3 linked regions of the Arabidopsis thaliana genome follow. The protein of the gene in region 2 interacts with the protein of the main gene of each other region in a pairwise test. Each region holds a gene or a part of one and is shown on either strand. Other genes may lie near its edges.

Evidence for each region.
Region 1: the proteins of AT4G16444 (region 2) and PRA1.B2 interact in a protein complementation assay, tested with the Arabidopsis thaliana proteins (one large-scale study listed by BioGRID).
Region 3: the proteins of AT4G16444 (region 2) and AT4G23930 interact in a protein complementation assay, tested with the Arabidopsis thaliana proteins (one large-scale study listed by BioGRID).

Annotation. Positions count from the first base shown.
Region 1 is NC_003071.7:16,863,617-16,867,476, forward strand, and holds PRA1.B2 (prenylated RAB acceptor 1.B2), read right to left. Parts: upstream 1,972-3,860; 5' UTR 1,760-1,971; coding exon 1,118-1,759; 3' UTR 830-1,117; downstream 1-829. Other genes in the region: AT2G40390 (neuronal PAS domain protein), read left to right, coding at 3,769-3,860. UniProt on the Arabidopsis thaliana protein: May be involved in both secretory and endocytic intracellular trafficking in the endosomal/prevacuolar compartments.
Region 2 is NC_003075.7:9,273,595-9,278,420, forward strand, and holds AT4G16444 (tail-anchored protein insertion receptor WRB-like protein), read right to left. Parts: upstream 2,854-4,826; 5' UTR 2,665-2,853; intron 2,505-2,664; 5' UTR 2,463-2,504; coding exon 2,352-2,462; intron 2,277-2,351; coding exon 2,197-2,276; intron 2,074-2,196; coding exon 2,003-2,073; intron 1,712-2,002; coding exon 1,641-1,711; intron 1,557-1,640; coding exon 1,475-1,556; intron 1,392-1,474; coding exon 1,342-1,391; intron 1,269-1,341; coding exon 1,197-1,268; 3' UTR 844-1,196; downstream 1-843.
Region 3 is NC_003075.7:12,435,171-12,438,833, forward strand, and holds AT4G23930 (Late embryogenesis abundant (LEA) hydroxyproline-rich glycoprotein family), read right to left. Parts: upstream 1,658-3,663; 5' UTR 1,525-1,657; coding exon 961-1,524; 3' UTR 830-960; downstream 1-829. Other genes in the region: FtsHi1 (FtsH extracellular protease family), read left to right, coding at 1,938-2,629, 2,724-2,808, 2,972-3,406, 3,491-3,544, 3,638-3,663.

The sequences.
Region 1 (3,860 bases), on a different chromosome or scaffold from region 2:
AATTATCCTTCCGAGAAGAAATCATGGTCTTTGAAATGACATGAGAAATGACGATATCTTGAACTGCTACTTATGAAATTTCTTGATTAATTATTAGTAGCATGGGAATTATATTGGTTTACTCTATTTCTTTGGTTTCCTTTGTATCTTAATTCCATTAGTCAAAAGTGGGTACGAACCCTAACTAGGTTCACATTTTTGTTGTCGATTTGTCAAACCTTCTCGTTACAAGTGGGATAATCTTCTTTACACAAGAGGATTTGTCTATTTATCTTCATGTTTAATGGTTAGTAACTTAGTACCTAAGTGTTGTTTTTATCTCACATTCTCACCAATAATTAGAATCCAGGAAAAGATTTCACAAGACATTCTTAACATTAAAACCAAAGAAAAAAGATTTCACAAGACACAACTCATTCCACGAAAATATATCTCATGTTATGAAGATTAAAAACAGGTCACCTATATTATATCTAAGAAAGAAGCAACTCAGTGAGACTTTGACCGAAAAAGACAATTCAGGTGACCGAATCTTCAGTTTGTTTTTGGCAGCCGAGTTTTTAAGACAAAATCCCCAAACTAAACGTGTGTCGTTTTTGTCAAATTGGCCAAACATGTAAATCCAGTGGGAAACTTTCCCATGATATAACCCTCTTACTATCAGCAAATTCGTACACAGTATTGGCTGTTCGCTTTCGAGATAGAGGAAACTTGTGGAAGAATAAAATAGTTGGTAGCTAGAGAGACATAGACATAACTAGTTACAAGATTTACATCTACCACGTATGTTGTTAAACTACATGTTGTTTGTTTAATCCTTAATACTTTGGTCAAACTATAATCTTCACTGGTTTAGTCTAAATCTAACTCAAACATATGGTGATGAAGGCAAAGAGTATCAAATTGATTTAAGGTAAATGAGATCTTACAATACTTGAGAAGGATCAGCTCCAAATTTTCTAAATTGTGACGAAATTGAAGAATACAACACAACAATGCATCTTTAGATCTAACACTTACAGATCTTCATCGAATCTATACTCAAAACATAACTAAAAACCCTGAGAATCCAGGTTTCGTTTGTTCTCTAGGATCAGAATCATCAAATTCGAGCTTCTCAAACTCGTCCTGCAACAACAGAAGCAGCAGCAGAAGTAGCAGCAGAATTACCAATGAACGAGAGTAAACCAGCATTAGCAGGCTCTTGTTCATCCAAGAACAAATCATCAGGAACCCTAAACGCACCATGTAAGCAAACAATCGCGATTCCAATCGTTAACGCCGATGTTAACAAAGATCCAACACTCGTCATAAACACAACCACAATCGTAGTCAAAACAAGACCAAGCAAAGTCTCACGATCTGAGAAACTACGACCAAAGAGAACCAAAGGCTGATCTGAAGATCGGAAGAGGTAGAGAAACATCCAGGAGCCTAAGAGAGAGAGGAGGACGAGAAGCGAGAATGGATGCGAGAGGAGGGAGAAAGCAAGGACTAACGAGACAATTGCGGAGTAATTGACTTTGAAGTAAGCGAGATTCTTACGGATCCGGGAGAAGGAATCGGTGAGAGAGTCAGGTCTAGCGAAGGAGCTCCGATCTACGAGTTCTAGCCATGGACGGCGTTGAGAGAGGCTTTCGCGGAGAGAGGACGAGAGGCGTGAGAGGAAAGTACGGAAGGCGTGAGAATTGATTGGAGGTTGAGATTGAGTGGCTGCTTGCTGGTTGGTGACGGGAAGAATCGCCGGAGAAGAAGACATTATTGGTGGTGTCGGTGAGTCTGTGCGCGGCGGAGAGAGTGTGAATTTGTTGTTCCGATTTTAGTGGAAACTGAAGTTGCGGCAAAACCGTGTTAGATATTCTAAAGGCCTAAATTTTATGGGCCTATAATGTTTTGGAATAGGCCCAATATATTAAGTTGGAGTTAATAGCAATTTTTAGATGGGTCTATAATGTTGGAAGAGGCCCAATATATTCCACTATTGGTTCATAAAACCATTTTTTTTTTTTCAACAAACAAACAATCTTACTGGTTCAGTGGTTTGTATCTATATGATGTTACAAGGATAACACAACACAAACTAGTAAATTAGTGTAGTTAATAATATTCTAATTTTATTTGCAGATAAATTACGACTTCCTACAATTGTTTATATGATCATTTCAATAATTATCATCTCATTTCCCACCCTATGAGTGTTCTCGTTGAACAAATGAAACAATCATATGATCAATTGATCATGAATGATAAAGGTTTACTAAATATATCTATAAACTGTGAAATTAAATTATATACAAATTATGTACACTTGAAGCTAAACAAATTATGAATTATATACAAATACAAATTATATACATAAATAAATATGAATTATGAGTTATATATGAATTATGGTGTCTTGAGACACCAGGAACTTGGGGCAAAGACAACTGGAGGGAACTCGAGAGCATTTTTAAAGACGCCTATGCAACCGGTGGTGGAGACTACATGAAGAAGGGGGTGCAAGCGATAAAAGATGAGTTTGACATGATTGGGACAATCAAAATGAGATAATGAAAACAAATGGAGGTTTGCGGAACTTGTTCATGTTGAGATGACCGAGATAAATGAGGTTGACGAGAATAACAAGAAGGTAAAGGTAACATGTAGTTACTTTCTCAAATTCGTGGATGGAAACAATAAGATATTCTCACTCAGCCTAGGCAATGTTGAACTCAAACGTTGCACTATCAATTAGTGAACTCCAAATCTACACTATCAATAATGTGTTCTTGTTTTGCTTCGTCTAGCCAATTTATTTGGCATAAACACTTGGTGTTTTAATTTGGTTTTTCTAAAATTCTACTGTTGCTTTATCTAAAACTCTACTTGAGTTTTGTTTTGTTTGGTGTTTGCGTTTGCTTTTTGGAGTGTTTTCTTTTGAACTTTTGCTCAAGTGATTGATTGCTTTTTGGAGTGTTTATCATCGAGTCGTTAGTTATGTAGCCACTATTAATTAGTCGTTTGAAAAGTAGATGAAAATTAAGACTTGAGGAAATCAAACACAATCCATAATTTGAATTCACCCCGAAGATAATGATCAGCTGCTATTGTAATCGTCAGGCTTCAAGTGTATATAATTTATATTTGTATATAATTCATAATTCGTATTTATTTATTTATGTATAATTATTTGAACACACTCCATAATTCGTATTCGTATTTATGTATATACAAACACACTCCATAATTCGTATTTATTTATGTATCAAACATATAATTAGTAAACTAAATAAAGACGAAGAAACATTATTGAGTAGAATAGAGGCATCGAATAACAATATTCGTCGGCCTAATCAAGAATATTTCTTGGAAATTCGGGTTGAAATCCACATATGGAAGAATCTTGAATAGCACGTACTTTATCAATTTAATTACATCCCTCTTAACGGTCTAGCTACTCTAATTATCATCTAAACCTTTTTCCTTGTACGTTATCTCATAATTTGCAGGACTCTTAATCATTATCACATTTCAAATTTTCAATATTTTACTAAAGAGACGTCTCGTGTTCGTGCGTAGCTCTATATTTTCTGGTTTACGTAAAATAGTTCATGATTTTGTTTAGCTTACCTTTTGAAAAAAATAAGCGAATCTTTCTTCCTTTACTTTTCTTCCACTCATTAAAATGTTCTCTCTATATATAAATGATAAATCTAGTCTTCTAATCATATACTCTCTATACCACACATATCTAGAACAACAACTAGATATTCAATATTAGCTCTAATGGCTTCTTGTGACACACCTGATGCGTTTGCTTGGCTTCAAACTCTTCCTCCTCTTTCTCTATGGAAAGGAAATTTAATGTCCATGTGTAT
Region 2 (4,826 bases):
TAGTAAACCAATTATATCTTCACAATGATCTCATTTTGTCGTGACTTCTTGTTTTAGAGTAAACTTTTAATATGCTATTGAATTAGGGGTGATAGAGAGACACAGAAACATAGTCCCTAAATCTGCCAAGTGGTAGAAAAGTTCTTGTAGACGTTACTACGTATATTATTATGAGATGCATTGAATTGAAATGTGCATGGGTTCTGATCACAAACCCAAAACACAACATTTTTCTAACATCCCCCCTCCCTTAAAGACGAAAGTGAGATATCACAATGACCTTTAGGATTAATTAAATTACAATGCTCCATATTTGTCTTTTAATGTTCTAGGAAAATGGAGAGAAGAAGAAGAAGAAGAAGAGAAGATTGTTATCTATCCCGAGGAGATTATTAAATTATTAAGATGGGACTTTGGATGCCCACATACACAACTATTTAATGAACCTTCTTCTTATTTATTGCACTTCCCATCTCCCAATTAGCCCCTCTAACCAAACCCTTTTCTTTGGTTCTGTCTTATTAACTCTTACTAATAGGCTTAACCAAATCCAATCAAGTTCTTTGATTTAGAAAGACAAGTGTAGATGATGTGACACGTGCACGTTCCTTTCAAACCAAACAAGATACTATGATTTAAATTGTTTTCCTTAATTAAGTAATGTGGTGGTTGGAAGTGGATATTATAATGCCCTCGAATTAATTGCTAAAAAGATTCTCCCATTAAACTTTAGTGCCTTCACCAAGCTACCCACTTTTAATAATAGTAAGTATTTTTATTTCTCTCTTCCATTTTCGGTGATATAATGCTACATCTTAATGAACCACATGCATTGGCATCGTGTTGAATAAGTACACGCGTCTTTAGAATCTGATTTTACAAAGTCGGTGTTACAAGATAAAAATTGACAACACGTAGAGGAATAGAGACAATGTGTTTGTTATGGTGTATATATACACATTGGGTAAATATTGGGGCTGCTTCTACGGTAACAACCTGCTCAACTCTCAAAAACGAACTACTTGTTATTGGTAAAATCCAACAAACAACCAGAGAAAAAGAGTCATATAAATATACATTGTTAAGGAAGATTAGGAACAAAAAGAGAAGCACAATTTCTGCCACAAGTGTCTCCTAAAAGGCTACAACTTTGAACTCAAAAACCATCCAATCTTCACTCTTTTCAGGGATGCGATTTAGAACTCCACGAACCTACACACATATTTGCTCACTCTGTTTGAGAGTATGAGCCACGGTATGATCCCGACCTGCATTTTTACCCAACCAACACTCTCAATCAAGAACAAGCCCAAATAAATGGATTGAGAAGAAGGAACTTACCATTACATGGCCTGTCATGTGACCTCCTGTTCCCCAAGATAACAAAGTCCCTGTGAAACACACCACATTCATTTTTTTCCTATGTGTTATATACCATAAGCGAGCTTTAACCTGGTAAAAGTAAACTACTCACCAAACGGTTGAACAAGTTGCTTAGCGATAATGGCAATTGGAGTCCTCCAGAAGCACAATACCAAGATTAGGTATATCACAACCTAGAAACAAAGTTCTTAGCACATCTCGATTAAGGAGTTTTAGACGGAAAAAAAGAAGAAGCTTGAGCACACAAACTAAGCTACCTTCGAAGCAAGCAGACCCTTCCCATACATATCGTATGAAAGCTTGATTTCTTTGTGATGCTGCTCCAGATCTAAAATTTCAAAATGAGAATTAACAAATACACACACACACCAATACTACACCATGATGATGCAGTGCTTTAGTAGGAATATCTGCTACCAGATAGTATTCATGTTTAAAGCTAACTAACTGTTGCATCATATTTCTGAATTTCATGAACTCTACACTCACAAAGCAATCAATCATATTTCTGAATTTCATGATCTCTACACTCACTAAGCAATCAATCATATTTCTGAATTTCATGAACTCTACGCTCACTAAGCAATCAATGTAGAACTAATAATGTATGCATACTCACATTGTGCAAGTTCTTTCTCTTTAGTAGCTGCTGACCTCCTAAGTTTCGCTGCTTGCGCAAATGTGGCTGGCCTGCAAGTAAACAATAGATAAATCTCTAATCAACAACACTCATATATATATTTTTCAACAACTGCACCTTCCTTAACTCAAATCACTAGAACCAAAACAAAATGTGACAACAAAATGGCTTACTGAGACAATGCACTAGCCTCTCTCAAAAGCTGCTTAATTTCGGTTCGCAGCTCTGATTCCCTCGTGTTCTTCGACCCTTTCTGAAGAAATTCCATAATTCAAAACGATGATTCATGTGGATATGAAAAAAAGCCAAAAAGTATTATCTTTTTTACCTTCTTCAATTGGTCAAGCCACTTGGATAGCAATTGGAAGACAACGACGACGACGAAGGTCAGAGGAGCAGCCAAAAAGCCGCGATCTTCTATAAGCTTCTCTCCTTCCATTAACCCTTTTGCTGATTACTGATTCTAACGTAATTCACCAATCTGCTCGAACAATTCATAACTCAGTACCATTCAGATCAACAAAATAAAAGCCTTAATTGAATCCATCATGTTCTGGATAAACATATCATCTAATCAATGGAGGAGGAAAAGATTCTAGTGCATATAGAATGAGATCGTCGTGAGTATGATCGGAACTTACAATCTCCGTCGTGGATTCACAGAAATTTGAAGCCTTCAAGCCGAGGTTAACGTCTGAAATTGAACGAACGATGGGAATTTAGAATTGGCCTGAATCTGTAAAAGAGGAGGGTTCTGATTTTGATAAAACAAAAGTTTCTACTCGTTTCGTGAAATAAATAAAACTCAAGCCCTTATGTGTAAACAACAATAACTAAACCCTTTTTCAACAGGCTCTATTGGGCTTCGTTGAAATAAAGAAACGGCCCATTAAATTAAAACTAAACCGCTTGTTTATTTTCTTTAAAATTTCATTAAGCTTGGGTATACATGAGTACATGTGAAAAGAAACAACAACTAGGCTACAAGTTTCAGTCAACAGTAAAAGTATCCAAATTTAGAATGAATAGGATAAAAATAGATATAAATAGTAGAGATGTAGTAAAACTACAAAATGGAGGGTAAGAAATTAGAAATGTGAAAATTTAACAAACATAATGTATTCTTTTTACGTGGAGTGGTTGTAATGGTTTTACCAGAAATGGCACGCGTTGTCTCTAATCTTTCTCAACTAATCTAAAGACACTATATGTTTTGTCTCATCCGATCCCACTTAATTATGTTAATCATCTATCTAATTGGGGTTATCACCAAATCAGAGCATTATCGATAACATCGCAGATACCGAAGCTGAAAAAAGGAAGAAAAACAATGTAAGTCCAAATCCTAAACGTCGTAGCATCTTCAGCTTTCGTGTATGCATGCCATTATATTCCAATTACTTGACGACAAACTTTTGCTCCCACCACTTTTGATGTGCCTTTCAAACTTTGTATCCCCATTGTCCACTTCCTCTTTCTTTCAACCCGCTCCGTTTTGTAGCTATACTGTCTCACTTTTTTTCGTTGTTAGAGGTGTAACAATAAATTTACCAATTTAATCTAATATATCATTTCATTTGTAATGATATCAACATTCTTATCTAATATCAACAATCAAGAGTGATACATTATAAAGGCATTTGACATTTGTATATATTGGTGAATATATGTGAGATAAGTTTTGTACCTTGTGGACCAATTAATGTGGGGAGTTTGCAGAATCCGACTATGAAGTGAAACTCAAAATGCACACATGTGGTTTAGAATTGTATCAGAAAATTTTACATTATATGGGTGTTAAGAATTATATGTACTGCAATTATTATATATATCAAACACAACTAATATCTATTATATAAGATTATCACGATAGGAAATATATAAGTTTGCATCGGCTTTGCATTGAACACATATATTAATTGATACGTATATAGTATTCTACTTTTTTATAAATTAATCTTTTCGATCCCTAAATTAGTAAAAATATGATAATGTACATGCATGGATGTTTTCATTATGGGAAGGGAGCGTAGAGTAGCATTTTGATCGAGAGAAAACGAGGAGATCGAGAGAGAATGTCTTGTGTAAAAATGAGTGGTCTTTTTCACAATTATTTATCAATCAAAACACATCTCATACATATATGTTGATATCATTATTCCCTAGTCTATTGAACTCCATTTGTCTTTTTATCAATAGATAGGCCCACTTTTTATATACTTTTTCCTCCTTGCCAAATCATAAGAAGTTAAAACTTAAAAGTGGATCAACTAATTTATAGAAACCATTAACAACTTTTGACACTCTTCTTTAATGTGTGTTTCATTTTTAATTGAATGCCAATAATATAACTTTAAATTCCACTGAGAAGATTTGACGTAGAGACAAAGAAGTGGCTCCAATTCACCATCTCCCAAGCCACCAAAATCTCTCCTAAACCCTTTTGTCACTCCCTTTTCTCATATTCACTTTTTTTCCAAGGAATATTTAAAACCTCATGCAAGTTTTCTTGAATATAACAACATACGAATATGATCTTTGATTAGATTACTCTTTTATATATTATGGTTAGGCATGTCCTTGCAAGATTTTTGTATTTAACATATTGAAAATTTATCATTGAATTACAACTCTGTTATGCATACAATCAAATCAAACGTTTAAGAAGACCATCCCTTATATATATTTATATACACCCTATATTCTCGGGATGTAATAAAGTTTCCATTTCAAATAAAAAGAGCCCTTAAAGGGAGGTAAGTGGGGGGCATGAAAAAAGGGTTTATATATCTCAATAATCATC
Region 3 (3,663 bases), 3.2 Mb from region 2:
CCGGTTTGGGGCGGGTACGTATATTAGCTATTTACCCTATTGGGTTTTAGATTGTTGTACCCGTGGATATAGGATAATAGCCGACCCAAACCCGATACCCGAAAGGGTATCAACTTATCCGAAATTACATATACTTATTCATAGATTTATACATATAAAAATTTATTTTATATTTAATATTTGAACCAAATACATTTATATCCAAATATCCAATAATAATTACTAAAAACTAAATGTACCTATATTTAAATACTTAATACTAAATATTTTATATATGCAAAATATTCGTAAATGTTTTGGATATTTGGACAAAATTTCGGTTATTCGGGTAAAATTCAGATATTTGGGTAAAATTTTCGACTATTTGGGTATAATTTCGGGTATTTGGGTAAAATTATCGACTATTTGGGTACAAATTTCGGGTATTTGGTACAATTTCGGGTATTTGGGTAAATTTTTGGGTATTTGGATATAAAATACATGAATCCGAAGGATACCCGTTTTTTTCGAGTATTTAACGGTTCTAAAATTCTATACCCGAACCAACCCAAACCCGATTAGAACCGAACCACCGAAGTTTTCTATTTACTCTATTGGATTCTAGAACAGTATACCCGTACCCGATCGGGTATTACCCGAACCGACCCGCATACCCGAATACCCGGCCCTACGTTATGGCTATAAGTGTATTTACTATACAGAAAACGTTAATCCAAACAAAGAATATGGAAAGCATGCATATCTATGTAGACTAATGTTAAGGCTATTACAATTGGCAACCGAAAATTTCGTGTTAAGTTGTAATTTAGTATACGTACAAAATCTAAAAGTACAATAGCTTTGTATTAATATTTGCAATTTTCTAACTTGATGGATTCAGAAAAGAACCCAAGAGGTTTCACTTCACATACATGTATTTTTGAAAAATAACCATGTCACTTTTACAATTGTTTTTTAATATTAACAACGGACGGCTACGATGGAACCATCACTCGAGGAAATCGCGATCCTACAATTACATTTAGCCGCGATTCGGTGAGTAAACAAACCGAGAACCCGAACCCGACCCGCCATCTCCAGCTTCGACTCTATTTCCACTGTTGACCCGGACCGATCCGAATTTTGAAATTGGGCGGCGGAGATTTGAGAACTAGAGGCCGCCGCGAGAGGAAACGACTGAACGGAGAAAGTAGCTAACATACGCTTGGTTCGACCCGATTCGATCTCACCAGCAGGTACGAAGGTATAACCGATCCGGTTTCCATAGTAAAAGAGCTGGATTACATTGTTGTAGTGTGAGAAAGCTGCGCGGTTAGGGTTTCTAACGGCGGAGAATTGAGAAAAGGTGAAACTAACGGAGCTATTAGCGACGGAGAATGAAGGAACCTTGACGCTAGTGACGGAGATCTCAGGATCTCTCGGTCTAAAGACTGTGAGATAAACAGTAAGTGCGGCGATGATTAAGAAGACTATGAAGAGCGTGGCGACGGCGCATGAAGCGAGGTTTGAACAAGACTTCGACATTTCTCGGTGGAGATGTTTGGTAGCGATGATTTAAGTGTTCACTAGTTGGGATAAAGAGTTTATTTTTGGTTAAAGGGAAAGCAAAACGACGTGTAAAAGCAAAAGGATGTTTTGTTTGGACATAGTGATAACGTTACAACGGAGTTTGGACTTAAGTGTGTGTGATGCAGCGAAGGTGGCCGACTAGAGCTAAATAAATTATTTTAGTGAACAAACAATGTACCCGGAACAGAAACCGGGTTTCGAAGTCGGGTCGAATTGTTGTAATTTAGAGCTAACAGAACAAAAACCTCCTGAGATTGAATAAACCTCCGATTGCTCTATTTTCTTATCCAGAACGAAGAGAGATTCAAATTTCGCAATGCGATTCTAGTGAAGCTTCTTTTTCTTCTGTACATGGTTATCGTCGTAAAATGGCGTCTATAGACAATGTTTTCTCACTCGGTACTCGGTTCTCAATCCCAGAAAACCCCAAGAGATCGATATTGAAACACGCGACTACATCGAGTTTCTCCGCGAGAACTCAAACTCGATGGAGAGCTCCAATTCTGCGTCGGTCGTTTACAGTTTTGTGCGAATTGAAAACTGGGTCATCTAGCTCCGGCGAGACGAACAATTCCCCTGCTGCTGACGATTTCGTAACTAGGGTTTTGAAGGAGAATCCTAGCCAAGTGGAACCTCGTTACCGAGTTGGTGATAAGCTGTATAATCTGAAGGAGAGAGAAGATTTAAGCAAAGGCACCAATGCGGCGACGGGTGCGTTTGAATTTATCAAAAGGAAGTTTGATTCGAAGAAGAAAACAGAGACAGACAAAAGCGAAGAGTCTGTTTATTTGAGTGATATTTTGAGGGAGTACAAAGGAAAGCTTTATGTTCCGGAGCAAGTTTTTGGGCCAGAGTTATCTGAAGAAGAGGAGTTTGAGAAAAATGTGAAAGATTTACCAAAGATGAGTTTGGAAGATTTTAGAAAAGCTATGGAGAATGATAAAGTTAAGCTGCTTACATCGAAGGAAGTTTCTGGTGTTTCTTATACGAGTGGCTATAGAGGTTTTATTGTTGATCTTAAGGAGATTCCTGGAGTCAAGAGCTTACAGAGAACCAAATGGTGAATTACTAGGATTAAGAAGAAGAATAAAAGTTTTAATTTTGATGTATGGAGAATATTGGTATGATTTTCTTATTGATCTGTTTCTTGATAGGTCAATGAAGCTTGAAGTTGGAGAAGCTCAAGCTCTTCTGAAAGAATACACGGGTCCGCAGTACGAAATTGAAAGGCACATGACGGTGATCACGCTTTTGTTCATTTAGATCTTATCTACTAGATTATATAATCTAATGTCCTCAATATTTTTGTATTGTGTTGGTTAGGAATTTTTCATAACCTATTCACTAGGTTGACAAACAGATCTATTTTGTTCTGTTATTGACTGAGTTTATATGTTTGCAGTCTTGGGTTGGAAAAGTGGCGGACTTCCCAAACCCTGTTGCGTCTTCTATTTCAAGTAGAGTGATGGTTGAGCTGGGAATGGTGACAGCAGTTATTGCTGCAGCCGCAGTTGTTGTTGGAGGATTCTTAGCCTCAGCTGTTTTTGCAGTCACTAGTTTCGCCTTTGTCACTACAGTATATGTTGTTTGGCCTATAGCAAAGCCATTCCTCAAACTTTTTGTTGGCGTCTTCCTTGGTGTTCTTGAAAAATCATGGGATTACATTGTTGATGTTCTCGCCGATGGGGGCATCTTCTCAAGGATTTCTGATTTCTATACATTTGGTGGTGTAGCATCAAGTCTGGAGATGCTCAAACCAATCCTACTTGTTGTCATGACTATGGTTCTTCTTGTTCGTTTCACACTGTCACGGAGACCAAAGAACTTTAGGAAATGGGTATAATACTTTAATCACTCAACACTTTTTTGCAGAATCTATTGATATCGCTTGCGCCCTCAATCACTTCAAATGTTTTTGCAGGATTTATGGCAAGGGATTGCTTTTTCTCAGTCTAAAGCAGAAGCTCGTGTTGATGTAAGTTTCTAACCATTACTCCTATATGCATGTTTCTTCAGTTCTAATACTTTTTTGGTTGAGTTTTTTATGACTTCAATGATTATATTTCAGGGTTCAACCGGTGTTAAATTCGCTGA